2 linked regions of the Danio rerio genome follow. The protein of the gene in region 2 binds, or shares a complex with, the protein of the main gene of each other region. Links are inferred from orthologs where the notes say so. Each region holds a gene or a part of one and is shown on either strand. Other genes may lie near its edges. The genes, in order: bcl10 and malt1.

Region 1 (9,873 bases), on a different chromosome or scaffold from region 2:
CCATAAACTCTCATTCACACAAACACACTACGGACAATTTAGCCTACCCAATTCCCCTATAGCGAATGTGTTTGGACAGTGGGGGAAACCGGAGCACCCGGAGGAAACCCACACGAACATGGGGAGAACATGCAAACTCCACACAGAAATGCCAACTGATCCAGCCAAGGCTCGAACCAGAGACCTTCTTGCTGTGAGGCGAGAATGCTACCCACTGCGCCACCGTGCTGCCTTAGTAAACTTATAAACTATAATAAATAGTTTGCTGAATCGCGGGCTGACCAGATATAACATCAAATTTTAGCAGTTTTTAAAACAGACTTTTCCAAACCGCGGTAAACTCTGAAACCGGTTATCGTCCAATGCCTATTCACACCCTGATGGTGTTTTCTCTATGACGTTTACGGAGACAAAGAGCGCGATCGTAGCGGCTGGAAGTTAGCATCTCCGCTACTTCCAGCACTTTTACATACGCCGCCGTCCATGTCTTGCTCGTCGTTTTCCATCTCCTCGGGCAGGGCTGGAGCTCCGGGGTCTCCTGGTTTAGGAAGGATCGATGATGTGCTGGAGACGTTCATAGTACCCGAACCTCCACTCACCATTAGAGCCTCGTTCCCCCGAGTGGAGCTGTAGCGCAGGTTAAAGGATCCCGTCGCCACAGAGGACGAGGAACTGGCTTCGCCTTCAGGATGTAAACACATAGTGGAGTATTTATCATAGTCCGAGTCCATTTTGGAGAAGTCATTGGTTGCTCCTTTTGTGGTCGGGTAAGCCGAGTTGGACCCCGCTGTAATAAGTAAAAATATGAAATACATAAATAAACTGAATGGAAACTAGGGCTGGGCAATATGACAAAAAAAAATCTGAAATCATTATACAAGTCATCACATATCACGATAACAATATTTATTACACTGCTGTCTGGAATACTCGATTGTGATTGGTCAGTTGTGATATTCCAGGGTGTGTTATTCTCAGATAACAACCGCTAAATAACACAATCTCATCCAGGAACTGAGAATGTATCTGCTTGTGTATTACGCAACAGTTCTTGACTGTTTAGTGTTGTCTTGTGAATAAATCATATGTAGGTTAGTATATTCTCCATTCAGCCAGTTTTGTTTCTCTCGGCTTTGCGTTCTTGACTGTTTGGCGCCATCTAGTGTCTAAATAATGCGCAGGTTAGTGTATACTCCATCAGCTGTTTTAGTTTGTGTCAGCTTTGTGTTTTTGACTGTTTGCCGCCATCTAGTGTCTAAATAATGCACAGGTTAGTGTATACTCCATCAGCTGGTTTAGTTTCTGTCAGCTTTGTGTTTTTGACTGTTTGGGGCCATCTTGTGTCTGAATAATGCGCAGGTTAGTGTATACTCCACTAGCTGTTTTAGTTTCTGTCAGCTTTGTGTTTTTGACTGTTTGCCGCCATCTAGTGTCTGAATAATGCGCAGGTTAGTGTATACTCCATCAGCTGTTTTAGTTTCTGTCAGCTTTGTGTTTTTGACTGTTTGGCGCCATCTAGTGTCTAAATAATGCGCAGGTTAGTGTATACTCCATCAGCTGTTTTAGTTTGTGTCAGCTTTGTGTTTTTGACTGTTTGTCTTCATCTAGTGTCTAAATAATGCGCAGGTTAGTGTATACTCCATCAGCTGTTTTAGTTTGTGTCAGCTTTGTGTTTTTGACTGTTTGTCTTCATCTAGTGTCTAAATAATGCGCAGGTTAGTGTATACTCCATCAGCTGTTTTAGTTTCTGTCAGCTTTGTGTTTTTGACTGTTTGCCGCCATCTAGTGTCTGAATAATGCGCAGGTTAGTGTATACTCCATCAGCTGTTTTAGTTTCTGTCAGCTTTGTGTTTTTGACTGTTTGGCGCCATCTAGTGTCTAAATAATGCGCAGGTTAGTGTATACTCCATCAGCTGTTTTAGTTTGTGTCAGCTTTGTGTTTTTGACTGTTTGTCTTCATCTAGTGTCTAAATAATGCGCAGGTTAGTGTATACTCCATCAGCTGTTTTAGTTTGTGTCAGCTTTGTGTTTTTGACTGTTTGTCTTCATCTAGTGTCTAAATAATGCGCAGGTTAGTGTATACTCCATCAGCTGTTTTAGTTTCTGTCAGCTTTGTGTTTTTGACTGTTTGCCGCCATCTAGTGTCTGAATAATGCGCAGGTTAGTGTATACTCCATCAGCTGTTTTAGTTTCTGTCAGCTTTGTGTTTTTGACTGTTTGGCGCCATCTAGTGTCTAAATAATGCGCAGGTTAGTGTATACTCCATCAGCTGTTTTAGTTTCTGTCAGCTTTGTGTTTTTGACTGTTTGCCGCCATCTAGTGTCTGAATAATGCGCAGGTTAGTGTATACTCCATCTGCTGTTTTCATTTTTGTCCGCTTTGCGTTTAATTAACGAATTAATAAAATATTACAGCTCAGAACAATGTTATGTGTCTATTTTGGGGCAAGTAGCAATGTAATAAGCAGGATAAAGTAAATCCAGGATGGTTGTTTTCGCAGAATAAACCCTTTAGTGTTATACAGCAGTGCTCGGCTTCACGTCAGACTGTCAATAAAGCCTCTTGGGATGTATTCTGTGATAACAACCTCCTGGGTGTACTTTATCCTAAACATATCACCCAATATGTGTTTATTGTGAATATGTGGCTAGGGCTATATTTTGGGAAACCACAAAAAGTGCCTTTGCATGTGCTTGCCAGCATTTTCTAGGTAAAATGAACACTACATGGTGGTGTGATGCTGCCGACTTTTGTTCCTTTTAAAGATTTACAGCATAAAGATTTACAGGGACACATTATCAACGATAGCATCGATTTCGCATGGTTGTTAATAGATAAATGCCACAAAAATATCTCAATATAGACGGCTTTTCCAGAGTGGTCAGTTTGCTCTGTAGCTTACCTCGTACAGTGTCATACTTGGGGCGTGTAGGCAGACTTTGGACTGTTTTAGAAACCAGGTAAAAACAAATAAGCAATGTAAAACCATGGTAAAAGAATGTTCCAGCAATGCTCTTTTCTCTACTCGTTTGCATCTAAAAACACTATCGTTGAGTTTAGGGAGGAGGTGTATGGGTCAGTAATATATTATGCCCAACAAGCTGATCAGCTTCTCACATAAATGACATGTATGAGAAAAAATAGCTCAGTCACATATTTGAGATTTGCAAAAATGTAGATGGCGCCCTCTAGTGGACTTGTCAACACAAGCTGCAAGCAGGTGTCAGCGGAATAAGAAAAGCTTTTTAACCCTGTAAAGAGTTACCTTTTAAAGCCTCCAGGCGCTCGTTTTTGACCCGCTGCACCTCGTCTGTGATCCTGGCGATGATAAAGTTGAGCGTTCGGCCCCATTTGATGGACTCGATGAGCATGTCCAGGCCGCGAGGGTTTTCTGCCAGGATGTCCAGCAGTTTGCTGGTGCGTTTCCCTCTGGTGGTCCTGCAGCTGATCTCCTCCGTGTCTTCCCTGGTCAGGATCTTCTTCGAGCGCAGATAATCAAAGTGACGGTCGGCGATGATCTTATCCACCAGGTACGGTCGCAACCTTTCTATGGCCTACGATGACAGACAAGAACTAATGATTACACACTGACAATACTGTGCAAAAGTCTTAGGCTAGTGGCAGATTGAAATAGTTAGACATTATTTTGATCATTAATTGTACTTCAACAGTGAGTTTACTTTCAGAGATGATCTGATCATCATCCAGTCTGTCTGATGGACAACTCGGTTAAGAAGAACTCTGGCTCATCTTGAAGATGCTTCCAAAAACCTACCAGCAAAGCTGTTCAAAGTTTTAGGCACTTGTGTAAAAATGCTGTAAAGTGAAGATGCTTTTAAAAATAATTGATAAATACATTTTATTTATCAATGAACCTATATTACTAAATCAATTAAACATGTGAAATGACCACACTTTGCATTTAAAACACTAAGCCCAATAGCTCATAGTTTTTCAGGGAGCTTTGCAGGGAGGCTATTATATATCAGTATTTTTGAAGCAGGGAACATTTAAGACAGGCAAAAATTATTGGGCATGTGTCAAGGATTTGATCAGAGATTAGTGTGATTTCTCTTATTCAACAAAGATAAATAAATAAATAAATAAATAAATAAATAAATAAATGAATGAATGAATGAATGAATGAATGAATGAATAAATTTGACTTGTAGGCTTGTGCTTTACATATCATTTATATACTGCTACTCTCTGTTGAATTGTAGTGTTTATTAAAAGCGTCTGCCTACTAAATAAATATCTGCTAAGTTAATAAAAGATAATTCTTTTTTATGTTTAATATAATATATTTTACTATAATACATATAGTAAAATAATATAAATATATATATAGCAAATAGTGTTTTTGAACCATACTATAGTTAAGTGTATTGAACTATATATATATATATATATATATATGTATATATATATGTATGTATATATATATATATATATATATATATATATATATATATATATATATATATATATATATATATATATATATACATACATATATATACATACATATATATATATATATATATATATATATATATATATAGTGGCAGATATATATATATAATATAATATAAAATAAATGTATATAAATAGTTTCCCAGTACTGGGTTGGGGCTGGAAGGGTATCCATAGTATAGTTGGCGGTTCATTCCACTGTGGTGACCTCTGAAATAGAGACTAAGCCGAAGGAAAATGAATTAATTAAATTTATATAAATAAATATATTTAGTAAATAGTGTTTTTGAACCGTATATTAAACGGTATAGCAAACTCTTTGTAATGAATGCTGCTTATCAACATTAAACTTATAATCTGTAATAAATACAGTAGTATACGTTAGCAGTGTATGTATAAATTTGTAAACTGTAGTGTATTGAAGTGCAATAGTTATATATAGTATTTAAAAAGAATACACACACACATATATAAGTCAGAATTATTAGCCACCTTTTGATTTTATTTTATTTTTTTAAATATTTCCCAAATGATGTTTAACAGAGCAAGGAAATTTTCACAGTATGTCTGATAATATTTTTTCTTCTAGAGAAAGTCTTATTTATTTTATTTTGGCAAGATTAAAAACAGTTATTAATTTTTTAAAAAACATTTTGGGACAAAATTACCTTTACCTTAAAATTCACCACATCAACCCAATTAAGCCTTTAAATTTCACTTTAAGCTGTATAGAAGTGTCTTGAAATATTAAAATATTAATTAAAATATTATTTACTGTCATCAAAGAGAAAATAAATTCGTTATTAGAAATAAGTTTTTAAAACTATTATGTTTAGAAATGTGATGAAACAATCTTCCCTTCATTAAACAGAAATTGGGAAAAAAAATAAACAGGGGCGCTAATAATTAAGGGGGCTAATAATTCTGACTTCAACTGTGTATATATATATATATATATATATATATATATATATATATATATATATATATATATATATATATATATATATATATATATATATATATATATTACAAGTTTCCCAATACTGGAAGGACATCCGCTGCGTGAAACCTGTGTGGCGACCTCTGAAATAGAGACTAAGCTGAAGGAAAAAAAAAAAAAAAATATATATATATATATATATATATATATATATATATATATATATATATATATATATATATATATATACTTCCCAGTACTGGAAGGGCATCCGCTGCGTAAAACATATGCTGGAAAAGTAATGTTTTTGAACTATACTATAGTTAAGTGTATTAAACTCTTTAGTGAACTCTTTATAAATGAATTTTACTTATCAATATTGAACTCATAAGCTGTTATAAATACTGTAGTATACGTTAGCAGTGTGTTATTAGTGTTACATTAGTATTGTAAGCTACTATTATGTGTAAACTGTATAGTTGTATGTATTACAGTATTGTGACATGTTTATACTGTTGTATTACCATAACAACAACAAAATTACCACAACAGATTAATTCAAGTAACGTTAGCCTACTTTAGCATTGTTCATAAACACTAATATTTGCCAGAATTAAGTTAGTCCACTGTAGTATGTTTTAATGTGGGTTTATTTAATCTCGTAGACCAATATGATTAATATGCTCGTCTTAGGTACTTCATAAAGCAGTTCACACTCTAATAAAGTGAAGTCGGAGTATAAAAACTTGACGAACTCATTTGGAAATCATTTGCTTTCAGGTTTTTACACCTGATAAACGTTTGGTTGCATCGATCAGGTTTGTGGTCAGTGCCCCTCAGCGCTTTCACTTCTACTTTTACGAAGGCATTATCTGATTAATAGATTCTCGATTTCATTAACGCGTTTTGTTTCGTTTTACTCACTTCCTTCTTTATATCGGCCATTTCGTCCTCCGTCAGGTGAGTAACATCCATCCTCTCTTTTCGTTTTGTTGTTTTTCACTACTGTTCAGTTTTTAACTCGTTCCGGTAAGAAAACGGTGCTTCAAATTCCACATCGGCGACCAGAAATCAGCCAAAATGTCCAGACACGAACTTGTTAGCACACGTTGGATCCACTCGTAGTTCTCATATAGTAAAGGGGAACTACCGGCGCTTTAACTTCCTTATTGATAGCCTACATACTTTCTGTGAATGACGCCATAACCCAGCATCACGTCATCATTTTACAGGGGAGAACTTGTAAAATTTGTAAATTATGTAATATTTTCCTTTAATTTGTGATGATGTATATACCCCTACATGTGTTTTCCAATTTAATTCTTTTTACTGTATTGGGATTGTATTTGTGCATTTTTCATACTCTGATAAAATAGTTGGGTTAAAAATACCCCAACATTAAACCCAACTATGGGGTATTTTAACTCAATGCATTGGGTTATTTTAAATACATGTTTTTTTTTCATTCTGGTATTACTCTATTACTATTACTACTATTAATTTTATAATTATGATAGTGTAAATAAATAAATGTCTCCGCTGGGTGCTAAAGACAACAATATTATTGCGTTAAGAGCTTAAATAAACTTTAGAATGCAAAAACAACATTAAGCGCACATATTAATACAGCTGTTCTGTGTCAGTTAAATCAGTTGACTGTTGAAATTAAAAATTCTAACCCAACTGGTTGAGTTATGATATAAATAACCCAACAAAGTACATACTATTTAACCCAACTGGTTGAGTTACTATTAAATAACATAATAAAGGTTAAAAATAACCCAACAAAGCACATACTATTTAACCCAACTGGTTGAGTTACTAATAAATAACATAATAAAGGTTAAAATAACCCAACAAAGCACCAAATATGTTTAACTTAATTATTGGGTTAAATAAATAACTCAACGTTTTTTTAGAGTGTAACATTTGAAACAAAGTTATATCTGAAATGTAAACTGTAAACTTAAAATTGTACAAAAAGCATTTACAAGCTGTGATACTTGCCAAAGGCGGCAGTTCAAGATATTATAATCAACAAAAAAACGTTCTGAGAAGGTTCTCTTTTGGTTATAAAATAGATCCCAAAATTAACCTACAATGAACGTTCTGGGAAGGTTCTCTCAAGGTTATGAAAAAAACCTAAATAAAACCTAGAGGGAATGTTCTGGGAAGGTTCTCTGTAGGTAATAAATTAACCATTGAAAATAGCCTGCAGAGAACGTTCTGGGAAGGTTATATTTTGGTTACCAAAAAAAAAAAAAAAACCTACAGAGAACGTTCCCAGAATGTTTTTTTTTTTATTTTCTGTTATTTTGAAAGTGTAAATGATGGAAATAAAGTTTAACTTTTTTGACACATTAAAAAAATGTCTAATCTGTAATTTAAAGCCTTTTGGAGATTTTTCCATCTTGTCGTGGCTTCTTTATGCACATTAATTCAAATTTTTACCTGGGGCGCCCAAACTTTCGATCCCCACTGTTTATTAGGAGTACTAAATCTGATTAAATAATGGTTAATTTGATAAAACACAAAAGGAAAAGTGTTCATTTGTTAAAAACATACCATTGTTTTATTACAACTCTCTCACAACAGAGGACATTATTATAACAAAATGTGTTCAGCGCTTTTTAGGTGGCATTTCTTCTGGATAAGCTGATATATAAACTTATTTTTTTCTGTGTCTATCAATTCTGTGTGTTTTTCAGTCCAAGCGCATGCTTCAGACACTAAAATGAAGAATAAATGACTAAAGCATTTCCTATGGAGTCAGATCAGTCTCAAAAATAATACATTTATGAAATGATATTCATACATGCATAGCGCAATTCACATTTATAAAATTAAGTTCGTAAATTCAAAACACAATTCATAAATACAACACACAGTTTATAGATTCACAAGTAAAAATCATAAATATTTTCGCCAAATGAACTGGATTTGTGTATTTTTTAATTATATTTAAACTTGTGAATTATATTTTGTAAATGTGTTATTTCTGAGACTGATCTAACTCCATACATGTCGATCAAATCTGTTTTTTTTTTTCAGTCCAAGCGCATGCTTCAAAGATTAAATGAATAACAAATTAATAGAGCATTTCCTATGGAGTCAGATCAGTCTCAAAAATAATTAATTTACTAAAAGTTCATACATCACAATTCACAATTACATAATCCAATTCATAAAATCAAAACACTATTCATAAACGCAACACACAGTTCATGAATTCACCAGTGAATATCATATATAATATTTTCACCAAATGAATTGGATTTGTGTATTTCTGAATCATATTTAAGCAAATTATATTTTGTAAATGTATTATTTTTGACACTGATCTGACTCCATAGATGTCCATTAAATCTCCATCTCAATCTCTGGTCAGATCTGAAACCTCCTCTAGATGCTGCCGTACGACACTGTCTAGAACTTTACTGAACTCTTTGCACGCCGTCATGGCCGCCTCCATCAGTGTGTCCAGGTGGTCCTGATGGAGCCGGGCGTCCATTTGCAACAGGGCAATATTTCCACTACGAGGCAGCAAAGCCAGAGCCAGCGCTGTTCCTCCACCGCTCTCCTCTGCATGACACAGATCTGCCAGCGGGGTGTCCTCCACAAACCCAGCGCTGCACGCACACACATAATCGCGCATGGGGATCCCAGCGTCCACTAGAGCCAATGTAGCAGCATTGACACACGCGCTGTAGTTTCCACCGTCCGCCTGCAGGATCTACAGCGCAGGACAAATCAAAGACATGGTGCTGTTGTAGTCAGTTACATGTAATGTGAATTGTAATAGTATTTAAAGTGTCTTTGGAATCTTGTCATGTACTGCAACTGTAATAATATGAGTTATAGTTTGATCTGGCTCTTACGTTCAACAGAAAAAATTATCACAATAATTTAAAGCCAATATGCATGCATGGATGGATGGATTGATGGATTGTGGGTGGATGGCTGGGTAATTGGGTGGAGGACGAATGGATAGTTGGGTGGATCCTTGGATGGAGTCGGTGGGTGGATGGATGGATAGTTGCATTTATGAATGGATAGTTGGGTGGGTGCAGGAATAGCGTTGGGTAGATGGATAGATAGTTGGGTGGGTGCGTGGATGGATGGATAGTTGCATGAATGGATTGATAGTTGGGTGGGTGCATGAATAGCGTTGGGTAGATAGATGGATAGTTGGGTGCGTGGATGGATGGTTGGACGGATGGGTAGTTGGGTGGATGAATGCAAAGATAGATGGATGCATGTATGTTGGATAGTTGGGTGGGTCCATGGTAGAGTTGAGTGGGTGGTTGGATTGATAGTTGGGTGGATGGATGGATGAATGTATAGTTGGGTGGTTGGATGTATAGTTGGGTGGGTGCATGAATGGAGTTGGATGGGTGAATGGATAGGGAGTAGGTGTGTGGATGGATAGTTCGGTGGATGGATGCAGAGATGGA
Region 2 (9,773 bases):
CTATGCGTTTCAAGTTTGCCGATGTACATGGGAAGCCACTGGACAAACTGGTAACAGCGAGAAAGCGCGAAAAGAAACGGCATCACACCGCTCTGTATCGTTTATTTTAAAGACGAAATGCAGCCATACGTACTTCTGGCTACATAATTTGCGATCTCCAGAAATGTATATAGGGCTACGTTTTCAGAACGAGCCTATGTTTTGAATATGAATTATCATTCATTAAGACAGAATTTCCACCCCCTGTTGCCAATTTCAGTATTATATTTATTCATCCATGACAGGCTTAAATCAGCCAAGGTATCTTAAAAATACACCCACAGCAAAAGATTGACTTCGAGTGTTAAGAACATCTCTAAAAATACGGCGGTACACACAGACCTATTCTGAATAGTTTATCTTAACATTAAATGCTCTCAATAATCGGGAAGTACGCCAGACTAAATTACAAGAAAGAAACAACATGCTTTTCAGAATGATCGATTGAATGAGAGTTATATAATTAGCCTTACTGGCCGTACAACTCGCTACTGTTACAATTAAAATTTGATTAGAACTAGAGAATACATAAATAAATACAAAACAAACACTTGATACATACCAATAACAACGTCAACTTCACTGCTCCATGTTCGTTCATTATTGCAGCAGATCTCGCAGCGATATCGTCCCTGATGCTCTGGCAACACATTCTTGACCTGATTTTAAATAAAATAAAAAAATAAACTATAAATATAATCAGTAACATTTTATGTATAAGTAACAAATCACACCATTTACTACTGGCTTATTACCTGATTATTATTATTCAGTATGATCTTATTTTTACATCCCTAATCCTACCCAATACCTAAACCCTATGCCCAATACCTAAAAGTCTTAGGGCGTACTCACACTAGGTAGTTGCCTTGAACCGTGCTGAGGCACATTAGTCCCCCCTCCTCTCTCCCCCGACGGCCTGCACCCACATTGCTTACCTTCCAAGCCAGAGCATGCTAACGTCATCGATGTTGCGACTGTCTAGTTTAACAGGTAGTGCTCTCCCTCAGCACAGTGGACTTTGCTTTAGTTAAATCGTTTTGTATTATTTTGAGTATTTTGGGATGCAGTGACACACAGTTAAATATATTGCTGAACAGACCCAGCACTTTTGACACTCATTAATTATCATAGAAGTCATCGTGCTGCATGTATTATGAGGTTTGCTGAAGGTGCAGCTGACGTGCAGCTAGGGGTTTGTGTCTTTAATAAGCTATGACAGATTGTGTTCATTGAACAGTAAGAATGATTGATAAATCCATATGAAACAGTCCCTTAAAAGTCATGTCACGTCTTCAGTTTTGCACTCAGGCGTGCTTTGCACTCACACTACAAGCATACTGCGCCAAAGCCTAAACGAATTGTGCCAGGGCCGGCCAACTGAACTGCGCATGGGCCCGATTCTGAGCACTCACACTTGTCAAATGAACCGGGAAACAGTTCAGATGATCTAGTGTGAGTGCACCCTCAGTTAATGGTATGTTAATAGCATACCTGTATATGAAAATAACGTGTGACCAAATAATTTTAATAATTAAGATTACTGGATACGTTTTCTTTTAGGTGTTGTTGTTTCTACAATTTTTTCCCCAGTTTAGGCTCCTTTTTAATACTATTTAAGTATTTAAGACTATCATGAATAAAATTTCATACTTACTGTATACAGGGCTAAACGGTTGGCCCAATGGAAAAGATTTTTACTTGCCTCATCAAAAAAATTCAGCAACATTTTAGCTACATATTTTAAATAATGTGTTAAAACCAGTGAACTCTTTTTTTCAACATAACATTTCTTTTAAACAATAATGACATGTTTTAAAAACTATAATAAGCTAAAAGTATGCAAAACAGTCTGCCCCGGCTAGTGTCCCAACCTGGTAGCTATAAATACATGGAACATTTACCAAATATTATTGTACGAAAGATCATTAAACCATATTGATAAATAGAGTTGATTAATAAAAATGGTAAATCTCTTTTTTTTTTTTTTTTTTTTAGATGGATTTTTTTTTAGTTGGTGATTGAATGGACGTTGGCCCGATTGGGTAACTTTACATGAACATCGAAAAATTAAGACCTGTTTACAATTATTTAAGACAATATTTCAGTAAACTAAAGACTTTTTTAAGGCCTAAAATTTTTTTTTTTGTCATTTAAGATATTTTAAGTATATATTAGTCTATATTTTAAGACCCAGCAGACACCCTGTGTGTATTATTTTGTGTATAAACTGAACATTTGAGCATATATTTATTCTCGTACAGTGAACTTCCTCTTGTTGGCTTTTTTGATTGGCGCTCCATTTCTGTACCACTGATATTGCGGCAGCAGTCTGCCAGCAGCTCCACACTCCAGATACAGTAAATCTCCAGTCAGCAGCTTTTGAGGTTGAGGCTGGATCAACACCCTCAGCCTGACCTCCGATCCCATAGACACTAGACCTAAACAAAAAACATCCATTTTCAATATAGCAACAAAGCATGATCATTTTAAGATGCGTATCGCTTACCATATCTTGTTGGGACGTCAAGGACATCTACTTGTGCCCACTGACTGAACTCATATGTGCTTCCACAGTTTACCCTACAGATGTAAAACCCTGCATCTCTGATCTGGACTGGGCTGAACACAAGGTCTGGGGAAGAGCTGCTGCGTACCTGAAAGGTTGCATTAGTTATAGTATTTGTTTAAATCACCATCAGTTAAAGGGAGAGTTCACCCTTAAATGAAAAAGTATTTACTATTTACTCAAGTGATTACAAATTAAAGGGCACCTATTTAACCCCTTTTACAAGATGTAAGATAAGCCTTTAGTGTCTCCAGAATGTGTCTGTAAAGTTTCAACTTAAAATACCCATCAGATAATTTATTATAACGTCCAGAATATGCACACTTTTGGTGTCCAAGTACAGTGCAGCTGTTTTTGTAGCCTGTGACTTTAAATCCAAATGAGCTGCTTTTCCCCGCCCACTTTTCCTATGTGCGTGTCTGCTTCTCATCATGCGTTATGTCAGATAAACAGCAGTCAGTGATAAAGACAGACTCGGATAAAGCTGAAATACAGCTATTTAGTCAAGAACACCAAGTAAGTTTATTTGATGTATTTGTGGTGGAGTCTATTCAAGCCTTTCTGAAATGATGAGTCTCACACATTAGCGTTTACTGACACCATGTGTACATGGTGATTATAGCGGTTAAGAATTAGCAATTTAACTTCACGTCAATGTAATTTAACGTCTTTATTACAAATGTGCTCTGTTTTAAAGACGTTTTAAACTTATAAAAATCACAGTGAGTTGAAACAGATATTTTACTCCCTGTTAAAAAAACTGTTCTGTGAACAGGTGTAGACATGTTATTATGGAATCATGGCGCCTGTCAATCAATTCAGTGGGCGGGGAAAACTGCACTTCTACATAACATTGCAGAGGACCTCAAAATTACTGGGATTTGGGTCCTATTTTAAAGTCAGGAAATTAAAAAAAAGAGACTTATTGTGTTTCACAGTTCTGTCCAAACAGCTTACAAAAGTTGATTTTCATGATAGGTGCCCATAAAGATTTTCTTGAAGAAAGCTTGAAGCTGACAACTTTTGACTTCCATAGCAGATAAAAACACATACTATAGAAGTCAGCCAGTTTTTAAAACATATTTTTTGTTTACAAGATAAAAAAAAAAAAAAAACTCAAACAGTTTTGAGAAAAGTGAAGAATTAAAGAGTTTTCAGTTTTGGGTGAACTATCCCTTTAATTAGGTTATTCATTTGTAATATCACATGTTATCACAACGAAAACTAAGACTAAAACTATTGGTGAAAAAACACTTCGTTAACTGAAATAAAATAAATAATTCATGATAACTTAAAAGCTAAAACTGACAACATTTGAAATATATTTGAAAAAATTCATTCATTTTCTTTCAGCTTATTTATTAGGGGTGGCCACCGTGGAATGAACCACCAACTATTCTGGCATATGTTTTACGCTGAGGATGCCCTTCCAGCCATAAAGCTGGTAAACACCCATAGACACTCTTTACACACACACACTCATACACTATGGGCAATTTAGTTTACCTAAATCACCTATAGCGCATGTCTTTGGACTGTAGGGGAAAGCGGAGCACCCGGTGGAAACTCACACAAACAGGGGAAAAACATGCAAACTCCCCAAAGATTTGCCAATTGCCCCAGCTGGGACTTGAACCAGTGACCTTCTTGCTGTGAGGCGACAGTGCTAACCAATGAGCCACCGTGCCACTCATTTGAAAAAAACTAAATTTGCTAAACTAAATAATAATTTTCACAATTCATAAGCACTCATTCTGTGGCAAATAATCTGAGCTACGGCTGTTTATCGAAGTATCAAACACATCAGTCAAGCACATGACTATTATATACAGAAACACCTTTTCCGTATAAACATAAAACATGTCGTCTAACTTTTCTTTATTTGCCAAAAAATGCAAACTAAGCACATTTAACCACATACATTATCTTTACAGATTAAAAAGTTTGTCTGAATTCTTTATAATTTGTACGTTTATCCATTTAAGTTCCATTTTGGGTTTTGTATTCAGTGTTATTTTTTTTACTAAGTGTTTTGCACAAGAGTTCATGCAAGCTGTGCAAACATTAAACTTTGCTTTGGTCCACACTGGACATGTTCTGTCAACTCAGTTAGAGTAGAATTACTACACTAAAACTGAAAATAAATATATAAAAACTAAAAAGAATTTTGTTCATAGAATAAGAAACTAAAACTTATCAAACCATTTATTTATTGAACTAAACTGAAACGTACAGCAAATTTTAAAATAGTATCAAAATAATTCATTCATTCATTCATTCATTCATTATTTATTTATTGCCATGTCAGCTACTAAGGCTATTTTCATGGCAAGAGCATTTCAGTAATTAACAAACATCAACAGTAAAAAATAAATAATTGAATATACAATTTAGTATCAAAATAAAAACTCATTTAAAGATGCAAAACTATAAAACTATTGGTCTACACACCTCCTCAGTTTTCTTAAACCACTGGAACTGCACAGGTGAAGCACCGACAGCATAACAGCTAAGGCGAAGGTTGTGTCCGGCAATGACAGATACTGACTGTGGCTGAAGCAGGATTTGAATTCCTGTGAGACAAAAACAGAAAAGTCAGAATAGCACAATGTGGACCTGGAATTAATTTTCACATTGGAAAAGTATTGTAATAATTAGTATAGTTTTCACGTAAACTCTGAACTGCATTACACACACTCTGATTCACCAGATGTAAACTCAGAATTACAAGATCTGATCTACTCTCGGAATCACAAGGTCTAAACTCGGAGTGGCAAGTGTTAATCTCGGAATTGCAAGATTTAGACTCAGAGTGACAAGATTTAATCTAAGAATTGTAAGATCTAAAGTCAGAAAAGCTAGATCTAAACTCGGAATGGCAAGATCCAACTTGGGATAACAGCTTGTAAACTTGAAATAGCAAGATCTAAACTCTGAATTGCAAGGTCTAGACTTGGAATTGGCAGAAGTAAATTCAAAATCTCAACTCTGAATCGCGTAACATGCATTCTGAATCACCAAAAGTAATCTTATAATCACACAATGTATACTTGGAATTGCAACATGTAAACCAAGATACATGATCTAAACTTGTACTTGCAAGATCTAATTTCGGACTCATGAGATATAAAGTCAGAATTGGACTTCTAACTTGGATATGCAAGATGTAAACTTAGAATCGCAAGATACAAACATAGACTTGCAAGATCTAATCTCAAAATAACGAGACCTAAACACAAAATCTAAAGGTCTAACTGTAATTGCAAAATCTAAAGTCAGAATGGCAAGATCTAAACTCAGAGTTGCAAGATGTAGCTTGGAATAGCAACATACAATTTTGGAATATGTAGGAATAGCAAGATCTAACTCTGAATTGCAAGATCTAATCTCAAAATTGCAAGATCTGACTTATGACTGCACGACGTAAACTCGTAATCGCAACAAGTACCCTTGGAATTGCAAGATCTAAACTCGGAATGGTAAGACCTAACTCAAAATAGCAAGACCTAAACTCAGAATCACATTCCAGCTCAGAATTGTAAGATGCAAACTTGGAATTGCAAGATCTAACTCGGGATCTCAATATGCAATCTCAGACTCACAAGATCTAAACTTGGAATAGCAAAATCTAAACTCGGAATTGTAAAATCTAATCTCGGAATGGCAAAATGTAATATCGAACTCACAAGACCTAGACTCGAAACGGCAAGATCTTAAACCGCAAATTGCAAAACCTCAACTCAGAATTCCTAGATATAACTTGGAATCACAAGATCCAATCTCGAAGTGGTGAGATCTAAATTCGGAACAGCAAGATTTAATCTCGGAATTGCAAGATTCAACTAGAAATAGCAAGACCTAAACTCAAAGTCTCAAGATCTTGACTTAGAACTGCAACATGTAAAACTTATAATAGCGAGATCTAATCTCAGAATCGCAAGATAAAACTTGGAATCTCAACATGTAATCTTAGAATCATAAGATCTAAACTCGGAACGACAAGATCTTATCTCAGAATCGCAAGATCAAAACTCAGAATTGCATGATCTATCTCTGAATCGCTAGATCTAACACGGAATTGCGACATGTAAATTTGGATAAGCAAGACAAAAGATAATGTAATACAGCATTGCACAACATAAAAACTCTGCCTACTATGTTTACACTATTAAGGTAACTGTACCTGGAGGTTTAAGACACTGCAGGGCCTCTGTGTGACCCATGATCTGTAGAAACTCCATCAGTTCTTCCTGGATACAGCCCTGATCTCCGATGAGTTTGAGAAGAGTTCGGGAAGGACTACCATCTGCCTTCAAAGCCTTCAGAGAACACATGTCCATGTCTTCGAGACTGTGCATATGAGTGAATTCAGAAAGCATTACGAAATGTAAGTTTCAAAGTGGATATTACATTAGGAGGTAAAGTGAAGAGAGAACAATAGAGCTGTTACCTCACTTTAAACCGCTTGTCATTTTTCACAATCTCCCCCAGTTTTCGCCATCCTTTATTGTTGGCTTTATCAAGAGACTCACAGAGCCTTTTTAATACAGATTCTTTCAAGAAATTTATGTTCAAAGAGCTTTCATTCGATTCCGACATGTTTGAGAATAAGGCAGATGCACCGCTGTGATTGGTTTGACCTGCTGAACTGCTTAAGTAGTCAGCAAAGCACCTGCCAAACGGAAAATCAACATGACATTATTAGCAGTGTATACATCATATAAGAAATATAAGAATATTTATTTAACACCACTAGAATATGAATATATAACATATTAAAATACATGAATATTCTGAAAATATTTGTATTATAAATGTAATAAATGAGATATCAACTGTTGTGGCATTTACAAAAGTGATTTACAAAAGCGAATTAACTATTTATTCTGACCTGCACTTCTCAAGATATATAAAATGATGAGTGATCATACTAAATTGTATTAAAAGTATTACAAAATGTCACCATCAAATAACCCTTGATCTAATTATGCCTGACAAAAAAAAATGGTGCATTATCCTGCTGGAAGTAGCCATCAGAATATGAGTACACTTTGGTCATAAAGGGATGGACATGATCAGCAACAATGCTCAGGTAGGCTGTGGTGTTGACACGATGCTCAATTGGTCCTAATGGGCCCACAGTGTGCCAAGTAAATATCCCCCACACCATCAAACCACCACCACCAGCCTAATTCACTGATTCAAGGCAGGATGGAATCATACTTTCATGTTGTTGATGCCAAATTCTGACCCGATCATCCGAATGTGGCAGCTGAAATTGACAATCTTCAGACCAGGCAACATTTCTCCAATTGTTCAATTTTGGTGCGCCTGTGTGAATTGTAGCCTCAGTTTCCTGTTCTTAGCTGACAGGAGCGGCACCCGGTGTGGTCTTCTGCTGCTGTAGCCCATCCGCCTCAAGGTTAGTCATGTTGTGCGTTCAGAGATGCTCTTCTGCAGACCTCGGTTGTAACGAGTGGTTGTTTGAGCTACTGTTGCCTTTCTATCAGCTGGAACCAGTCTGGCCGTTCTCCCCTGACCTCTGGCATCAACAAGGCACTTGTGACCACAGAACTGCCACAAACTGGATATTTTCTCTTTTTCGGACCATTCTCTGTAAACCCTGGAGATGGTTGTGCATGAAAATCCCAGTTGATCAGCAGTTTCTGAAATACTCAGATCAGCCGTTCTGGCACCAAAAACCATGCCACCATCAAAATCACTTAAATCACCCTTCTTCCTCATTCTGATGCTCGGTTCGAACTGCAGCAGATCGTCTTGACCATGTCTACATGCCTAAATGCATTGAATTGCTGCCATGCGATTGGCTGATTAGAAATTTGCGTTAGCGATCAGTTGGACGGGTGTACCTAATAAAGTGGCCGGTAAGTGTATACACCTGTCTACATTAGACACACTAGTTTAATATCTTTAAATTCAGATTAGAGATCATATCAAAGACATTTTCTTCAAAATTAAATCCCTGTAATAATTTGCTCCTTCATGTTGTTCCAGTTCCTTAATTTATTTCCGTGAACAATTCAAATGAATGAAATGTCATCCAAAGTATTCAGAATCATCTAAAAGTGAAAGAAGACTTAATATTTTCCTTTATGATCCACAGAAGAAGTAAAGTAAGACGAGTGTGAACGGCAAGACGACTTTAAAAATGAAGACGAAAAACAAAGCAGTATTGTCATCCTTTGGTACGTCAACAACTTGTACAATCGCTAATTTCACTTTTTCCATCGCGCTTTGTCTAGTCAGCAAGCGAATATTGGTAAAAAATTATTGTTTAATAAAGTATTTAGCACTTCTAAGTTAGATTTTAAGATTATGAAATGTATGAACTGGACTAAACGTTCATGTTTCAAAAGTAGCCAAACAACATATCGGAATTCACCAAACACAAAACAGAAGGCTTGAAAAACACGCAGTATAAACATTGACATACCGTACACGGATTATGTGTTGTCATGTATCCCATTATTAAACGATACATGAATCCGACTGATGCGGGGAAATCCAAAAGTACGTGTGTGTGTGTGTGTGTGTGTGTGTGTGTGTGTGTGTGTGTGTGTGTGTGTGTTCGCATCACTTCCTGGTGTCTGACAAAGGGGAAGGTGTTCATCTCATCATGAGTACACTACTCCTGAGCAGCTCGCAGTGCTTAAACGGAAGTGTTTCAGTCAAACTCGCTCTTCACAAACATGTGATTTGGGGTTGTTTATTTATCTTTAAAGGATGATGGTTTTTTTATGAACTTTATTTCGTTATTGTGTGAGGAAAATACACATTCATGGATGCCAGTTTACAAGGGAAACCTCTCTTCATTGTACCAGAAAAAGAGATGTAGGCTAGAAACAATGAGAAAAGCATTAATTAATATATTGAATGGAATTAATATTAATTCATATCTGCTCATCTTTTAACATTTTTACTTAAAGACTACATATGTATGTATATTTTCTGCAATAACCCTTACTGTGTGTGCTGTTGGGGATGTTTTCATCCACTCTGAGGAGATTTCAAGTATTAATTTGGCCATAACTTTGTCTGTTTCAGCTAGCAGAATGTTTTTTGGTGGCAAATCTTATTTTGAAATATACTATATTTTGTGAAAATAATTAAAATTTAAAACAAAAAAACTCAAAGATACACTCTG

What was found.
Region 1: the proteins of malt1 (region 2) and bcl10 are in contact, whole or in part, in a cryo-EM structure (PDB 6GK2), measured with the Homo sapiens proteins. The link is inferred for Danio rerio from reciprocal best matches to the Homo sapiens genes MALT1 and BCL10. Residues at the interface, in NP_006776.1 of Homo sapiens: Asp46, Gln47, Ala48, Pro49, Trp54, Arg55, Leu74, Glu75, Ser78, Leu79, Val81, Leu82, Glu83, Pro84, Glu85, Gly86, Pro88; in NP_003912.1 of Homo sapiens: Leu13, Lys17, Val83, Arg87, Asn93, Gln97, Thr100, Leu104, Arg107, Asn108, Leu111.

Annotation. Positions count from the first base shown.
Region 1 is NC_133177.1:2,089,465-2,099,337, reverse strand, and holds the start of bcl10 (B-cell lymphoma/leukemia 10), read right to left. Parts: upstream 6,574-9,873; 5' UTR 6,395-6,573; coding exon 6,344-6,394; intron 3,817-6,343; exon of another isoform or gene 3,705-3,816; coding exon of another isoform or gene 3,681-3,704; intron 3,555-3,680; coding exon 3,266-3,554; intron 788-3,265; coding exon 402-787; 3' UTR 1-401. Other genes in the region: exosc4 (exosome complex component RRP41), read right to left, coding at 8,793-9,152. UniProt on the Homo sapiens protein: Plays a key role in both adaptive and innate immune signaling by bridging CARD domain-containing proteins to immune activation.
Region 2 is NC_133180.1:72,225,391-72,235,163, reverse strand, and holds the start of malt1 (mucosa-associated lymphoid tissue lymphoma translocation protein 1), read right to left. Parts: upstream 9,148-9,773; 5' UTR 9,063-9,147; intron 7,281-9,062; 5' UTR 7,208-7,280; coding exon 7,059-7,207; intron 6,959-7,058; coding exon 6,792-6,958; intron 5,182-6,791; coding exon 5,060-5,181; intron 2,697-5,059; coding exon 2,549-2,696; intron 2,481-2,548; coding exon 2,302-2,480; intron 699-2,301; coding exon 602-698; intron 1-601. UniProt on the Homo sapiens protein: Protease that enhances BCL10-induced activation: acts via formation of CBM complexes that channel adaptive and innate immune signaling downstream of CARD domain-containing proteins (CARD9, CARD11 and CARD14) to activate NF-kappa-B and MAP kinase p38 pathways which stimulate expression of genes encoding pro-inflammatory cytokines and chemokines.